Arabidopsis thaliana: one gene and its partner. The protein of the gene in region 1 binds, or shares a complex with, the protein of each later gene. Each region holds a gene or a part of one and is shown on either strand. Other genes may lie near its edges. A codon is read from its position in the direction of its gene.

What was found.
Region 2: the proteins of EBS (region 1) and AT3G27360 are in contact, whole or in part, in a crystal structure (PDB 5Z8L), measured with the Arabidopsis thaliana proteins. Residues at the interface, in NP_001320030.1 of Arabidopsis thaliana: Arg40, Pro41, Ser42, Tyr49, Trp70, Tyr71, Tyr72, Glu76, His95, Phe96, Asp97, Gln99, His102, Thr103, Ile104, Glu105, Ala135, Ala136; in NP_189372.1 of Arabidopsis thaliana: Lys24 (codon at 1,312), Ala25 (codon at 1,309), Ala26 (codon at 1,306), Arg27 (codon at 1,303), Lys28 (codon at 1,300), Ser29 (codon at 1,297), Ala30 (codon at 1,294), Pro31 (codon at 1,291).

The regions. Positions count from the first base shown.
Region 1 is NC_003075.7:11,728,786-11,732,539, forward strand, and holds the start of EBS (PHD finger family protein / bromo-adjacent homology (BAH) domain-containing protein), read right to left. Parts: upstream 1,725-3,754; 5' UTR 1,446-1,724; coding exon 1,349-1,445; intron 612-1,348; coding exon 269-611; intron 171-268; coding exon 102-170; intron 1-101. Other genes in the region: PUX3 (UBA/UBX domain protein), read right to left, coding at 2,487-2,864, 2,960-3,055, 3,142-3,427, 3,672-3,754. UniProt on the Arabidopsis thaliana protein: Chromatin remodeling factor that binds to methylated histone (e.g. H3K4me2/3) to prevent their acetylation (e.g. H3K9K14Ac), likely by recruiting histone deacetylase (HDAC) complexes, and thus regulating the transcription of target genes.
Region 2 is NC_003074.8:10,128,489-10,131,809, forward strand, and holds AT3G27360 (Histone superfamily protein), read right to left. Parts: upstream 1,450-3,321; 5' UTR 1,382-1,449; coding exon 971-1,381; 3' UTR 617-970; downstream 1-616. Other genes in the region: AT3G27355 (Hop-interacting protein), read right to left, coding at 1-50; SDH2-1 (succinate dehydrogenase 2-1), read right to left, coding at 2,721-2,886. UniProt on the Arabidopsis thaliana protein: Core component of nucleosome. Nucleosomes wrap and compact DNA into chromatin, limiting DNA accessibility to the cellular machineries which require DNA as a template.

The DNA.
Region 1 (3,754 bases):
TCCTGGAAAAGAATACGTAAGTTTAAAAACAGACATATAGTCTCTTTTCTGTTGAAACACAAGTAAGGAAGTTAATAAAAAAGACAAATATCAACATTTACCAGTCTTTGCAGCCTTCACACTGCACCATGAGATCGTCTGGATTGTAAGGCATTTCACATTTGCAGTACCTTCAGAACCAACAACAACCCACAACAGATAAAAAATCATGGAAATTCCAGGTAATAAGAAGGCGTAGTTCTGATCTGATTACTATTTATCTACTTACACAGCAACTCGATCAGGGGTAAATGCGCCAGTAGCAGCCTTGTACTCGAATCTACAATAATAATCCTCTGCCCCAACGTTTTCAAGCCTCGTGTAGTTTTTGAAGGTGTGAACAATGCATTTTCCCTCAATGGTGTGTGCACTTTGAACATCAAAATGGTCAGACAAGAAAAGCTCTTTGGCTCCATGAAATTGTCTCCTACCACCAAGTGACTCCTCAGGGCGGTAATACCATCGACAGTGCACCTTCACATTGTTCCTCGCATCAGCTTCAATCTTCTCAACACGGGCCACATATGGTGGTTTACCAGCATCTGATGGGCGCATCAACACACAATCTCCCGCTGCAGAAAATAACCTCAAAGATTAGTTCAGAGCTTATCATGCACATTAGTAAAGTGATATAAATGCCCAACACTAAAATTCTAACATCTAAAAAAGGTATAAGCTTTAAATGAACAAAAGTATGGGTTGCAAATTTTAAAAAACAGTGTTCAAGCTTTTAAAGATCACTCCCTTCAACGAAAAATGCCTAGACCATAACTCTTATGCACCTATTCACCAGAAGGAAAAACCCAGAATTCTAGGTATACGCAGACACTTAACATGTGAAAGCACACATTTTGCGTCAACAAGCATAACAAGCTACAATGCAGATGATAGAGATACAATGAATTCATGTTTCACATTTAACCAACCAGCCAAACACAAACTTCATTTATAGAAACCAAAAAAGCAAGGAAATTTACACTAAAAAGCCCAAATCAAAACAATTCACTGCAAGAAATCTCAGTTCTAACAACAAGAGAGCTACCAAATATCACATTTTGTGCCATTTCATACACTAGAACACCCTACGGAGCAGTGACATACCCTTAGCAGCTAGCTACACAACACCAGAACAAAAAGACCAAAAACAAGAGTGAATCTAAAAGACCTAAGCAGACATTGACTCCATAACCAAGCTTTCAAGCAATCCCTTCCTTTATAAACCATTACTCAACACTCAAATGCCCAAAATCATGCAGAGAAATGTCTAAATTTGACAAGTGACGATAACAAATGATAATATAAGCACTACCTCTCACAACTTTGTTGGTGCCCTTGATGGTATAAGAGTCCAGCTCCTTCCTTCCCGTCTTAATTTTGGAGGCGACACCAGGTCGAGTTTTCGCCATGGAAGCTAGGGTTTTTCGAAAACTGGTTAAGCCGGAATAAAAAAAAAGCTAGGTTTTTTGTTCCCGGAATGTATAAGGATTGGGGCTTCTAAGAAGATCAGGATGTGTAGATCGATGGGTAGAGAAAAAAGGAGAAGAAAAGGAAAATCCCAGTGGGGAAGAAGCGAAGAGAGGAAGACGAAGAGTAAATCTGGAACCCTAGATTCTCTCCAGGTGAAGAAGATGAGTCATTTGCAAATTTGGGAGTTTTACTGTTCACAAAGCCCAATTCATTTTTTTGCCCTTTGCTTTTATTTTATTTCTCTTATAACAATTTTGGAAATATTGTTACTTTTTCCTGCCACATTTACCGTAAAATGGGAAAAAAAAGTGGCTCGAATTTCAAATTTTTACTGTCGTTTTGAACTTTGATTGAATATTTTGAGCAAGTAAAAGTAAAAGTTTATAGGTGAAACAGTACAATAATTTTCATGGTTATTCAAGTTTTTTTTTTATTTATGTTATCATGTATTTGAGCCATTTACTGGCAAGATCAATGTTTATATTTAAATCTAGAATGGTAGCACGCGTGTTTAATCTTTCGGCTAATGAAAATTACTAATTGTTTGATACAATAATCACTAGTTTTGGTATTTGATGAAACTAATCAAAACATTAGTGAATGAAACTAAATTAATCATGGATATACGTACGTCCAAAATAGCCAGTTTGGCACAGCAATAACATGAATATTTAATCAAAAGTTCAATGATATTTTGATATTACCAAACTGTCATACACTAATTGTTTAGATTGAACTTTAATAAAACAAAGAAAATCAAATAATTGTTCATGTGAAATTTGAAGTAATGTTAGAACTCAAACTTTTCACTCTCATATAGGTAACAAGTATGAAAGTAAACACATTGAAACGAAACAAGATAGAAACCATATGATGTTTTTATTTCTCTTGCCACAACAATAAGCCGATTGAATATTTTCAGTACAATTCCAAGTTGTTGAAATCTCTCTCTAGTACAAAAAAAGAGAAACGAAACTTTTCTAGAATTTCTGAATGACTACAGAACTTGCTAGACCGGCTTGTTCAATGGTCTGAGAAGGGTCAGTAAGTGGCTTTGGTGGGAACCCCATGACCTGAAGGGTATAGTTGTTTGGATTCCCTGGTCGAGAAAACTCAATGAAACCACGAATGTCGTTAACCGTGTGATGGTTGTTGAACTTTGCTACCATGCGTGTCCCATCCGCGAGTCTAAGCTGGATCGATGTGGATGGAAGAGTTTCATCTACTACAAGGCTCTGTAACGGTGATTGAACCGCTGCTACATCAGTTAGGTTACTTTGGCTTGAAGCTGTTGATGAGCTTGCACCACCTAGAGTCCTTCCAACTCCTTGAAATGAAACCTTAAGCTTTTCTTTCTCCTACAAAAGAAGAAGAAACAAAGATGTTATAAGTGTTGGTACCATAGTCATAAGATGGATCAAGCACAAGTTAGTGTATCCCAATAGGAACTTACAGGGCACTTCTCATCTCTTCTCATAAGATTAACATGTACAGGAGCTCTTTTATCAACAGGCTCAAGCTCTTTCGGACATTCAGACTTTCGAATGCTCTGCAATACACGAAAATACAAGACAGTTCAACACAATATTCATAAGCCAATTCATAAGCATTAACCAAAATAAAATTCACACTCACATCAAGAAAAGAAGCATTCTCTGGATCATCCAACTTCCTCAAAGGTCCATCATCTACAGTGAATCCATTAGACCAGAAAATAATATTGTGAATCACAGGCTCAGGCTGTTGAAGAGCCGTTGGCACACTTTCTCCAGAAAGCAATCTTCCTGTTCCTGTAAAGCTTCTAGAACTCGAAGGATGCTCAAGAGGTCCTTCCACAGCTCCTAGCTGTCTTGCTTGATTAAATATCTCATCAACATCATCGTGTTTTGGTTCTTTTGTAGGATCTTGAACAAGCATACCACTTCACACATAAAACACAAAACAAAGATCCAACAATTTACCAACCATACTAATCATCAAATAGATAATTGATGATTAATAAATTACTCACTAAACTACACAAATCTCAAAAAGTAATGATTTTGATTAAAACACTTAATTGGCCTAAGACCATTATAGTTGAATCATCAAAAACTTTAGTTAACACATCATAATTAAGCAGATCATAGTAAAACTAGTGATTTAAGGGTTTTTTAAGTACGAACCTTTTTTCGCCACCGGTGAAGTATTCTTGAGGTCCATCGGAGTCACTATCGGAATCAGGTTCTGATCTTCGGTTCAGATCGGA
Region 2 (3,321 bases), on another chromosome or scaffold:
AGAATCCGGTAAGTTCTGACAAGACCATGTTGCCGACCTTGTCGTCTCATCTCAACCGTCGAATATTAAAGAAAGAATGAAAGAGAGAGAGAGATTTTTCGAATTTGGAAGTTAGCTTGAATGATATATAAGCCAAGAAGAGCTTTAATGGAGTCAAAACGTAACATCCAACAACAAGAGTAGTTTGTGGGTTAAGTCAATGAGTTGTTGTTATAGATAACGTGCAGGTCTTAAATAATTGAAGACTTCTTTATCTTTGCCATTACAGAAAAGAAAAAAAAAACAGAACATATATGAATTTAGAATTTGAGGTTACATTATTGTTTATACTTAGTACTCACAATTTAAAAAAACTTTGATTCAATTTCTTAAACCTTTTTTTTTTTTAATATCTGAAAGTTCAAATCTAAAAATCATATATCTTCTCTACATCAGGTTAAATTCAACTCTTTTGGAAAAGAGATACCTTCCACCTCGAACTCAGCACCTCCACCTAAAAAATTTACCACTGACCAACAGTACATTGGTAATTTCTTAAACTTATTGTGATGAATTAATCGATAAAATAACACATAATTCTCACCACTGAAAGAGGACTTTGATAACAGAGAGAAGATTATGCTGCAGGAAAATAAAATGATTAACCCTGCTTTGGTCAATAAATTAGAACCATTTTGACACAAGTCACTAAGACCTGAATACAGATGTAACAATATACAAATAAGTTACAACCAAAATGACAACTTCAATTGCAAATCTAATAAGTTAAACTGAAGACTGATTCTTAGAAAGTTGCAAAAGTAGATTAAATTTTCATTTGGGCATTTCATCGAACATCTGGAAGACACTTCAGAACAAAAGACTAAGAAAACTCAAAACCAAATCTAAAACATGAATCTACAAATCTTATGAGAGCAAACAAGCAAATCTACACTAGACCATTGTTTTTCTTCTTCATCTTCTTCAAATCTTAAGCCCTCTCACCTCTAATCCTCCTCGCAAGTTGAATATCCTTAGGCATAATCGTAACCCTCTTAGCATGAATAGCACAAAGATTAGTATCTTCAAACAATCCAACCAAATAAGCTTCAGCTGCTTCTTGAAGAGCTGCGACTGCACTACTCTGAAACCTAAGATCCGTCTTGAAATCTTGAGCTATCTCACGAACCAATCTCTGGAAAGGAAGCTTACGGATCAAAAGCTCTGTGCTTTTTTGATACTTTCTGATTTCACGTAACGCTACTGTTCCTGGACGGAATCTGTGTGGCTTCTTCACTCCTCCGGTGGCTGGAGCTGATTTCCTTGCTGCTTTCGTCGCCAGTTGCTTTCTAGGAGCTTTTCCTCCGGTGGATTTTCTAGCTGTTTGCTTTGTTCTAGCCATTTTGAGAATTCTTGACAATGAAAAATTTGAAGCTTTTGATTGTTGAGACTGTCGTGTTTGATTGGTATATACAGAGTGAGGTTGGGATGCTTTTTTATACTCAAAGAAGAGAGAATTTGGTCCGTTAGATGTGTTTTCCTCTAAACGGTCAAGATTGTTTTTATCTTTGCTATCTGCGTCGTATGTTAAGTAACCAATCAGAGTGATTCTTTCAGTTGTCGAGGATTCTACACGTGGGATATTTATGATGACGTGTTAATTATTGCGATGTGTAACGGTGTTTGTGATCCAAAGACTCTGAGTGAGACAGAAGTGTTTTCATCTTTGATATTACGATCTGTTCAATGAATTTATTCCATCAACAGATTGCGAAAATTTGTAGGCTTTTACAATACAAACTCTGATCTCTCTCTATTTGTGATATCTGTTTTTTTTACTTATAAAATATCACATAAGCTTCCTCTGTTTCACAAGTTTGACATCCTGAATTGTGTTTTAAATCTTCTACATTGTCTCTAGTCTTCAAACATACATGAACATAAGGAGTTCAAGGCTCAAATCGGGCAACACTGAACACAAACGGGAGGCTGTTTTTCTATGTTGCAGTCACAGCAAGCTGTTAGGCAATGGTTGTTGCAGCCTGCACGTGAAGAACAACAACAAAAAGCAATGGTACCTTCCACAGTTAAAAAACATTATCGTTGTTTTTACTTTCTAGAACTAGTATTCGAAGCTATGGTACCTTCCACAGTAACAAATAGAGACTTCTGATGCTCCCGCAAGCTCGGAAAGAACTCAAACTGTTGTTTAGTTGCTGGAGCAACATCGGTTGCTGTTCCAATAGTAACCAAAGAGACAAAGAATATAGCTAGTGTTGCCGGTGTCATCTTTCTTGTTTGTTGTGTGATCAGTACTTGCAGTTATACTTACGCAGTCAATCATAAATGTCAAGGAAGTTATGATTGATACTTTTCTATGATTAAGCTATGATTGATAATACATCACGTTGTGTTCATGTGTACAGAAGGCAGAGACACAAGTACATGAAATGATTTTATCATAGGCCAATGCAGAGGGAACACAAAAGAGTAGATGATAAGTAGATGAGGTTTAAGTTTACTCGAGTTTTATTACTTAAAGAGGAGATTTTCAGCAAGATACAACCACAAAGCTCATCTACTTGGGAAGACTTGCAAACGAGTTTTTTTAAGGCGCTAATATTTGGCAACAACAATACAAGAATGAATTGAAAATCCGAAGAGGTTTTGTGAAGATTATTAGCTTCAAACGTTAAGACTGATGAGTTTCCCAACGGATCCCGCACACAAACTTAGCTGTTTCAACGCTGAAGTTGCTTGATGTGAGTAATCTGTTTTCCTGGGTTCAAACCCTTTGGACAGGCACGAGCACAATTCAAGATTGTATGGCAACGGTAAAGCTTGAACTCGTCGTCAATAGCCTCAAGTCTTTCCTTAGTGTACTCATCACGACTGTCGCTTATCCACCTACACATACCAACAAGTCTCTTGTTACAAACACATCGAAAGGTCAAATTTCTATTGAATGCCCCATATATAGATCAGCTTCCTAAACCAAAACAACAATTCAGACAGTAATACAGTAGTGAAGAACCACATAAGTGAAATCAATGCAGCTAACAACAATATATGAGAATCTTCCCAACCATCCATGCAAATTCTGAAAGCAAATTCCAAGAGTGAAGGGTTCCTAGTTCTACAATTTGCAACCACTTTCCATCAAAATAGACTTGAATGAGAATCAATGCAGCTAAACAACAAGATATACAAAATCTTCCCAACCATCCATGCAAACTCCAAAATCAGACTACAAGATAAATCGTTTCCTAGTCCTACAATTGGAATTCAATTCCCCAAAAAGCCAACTTCTATATCCATTTTCAACATACCAATCCTTCAAAC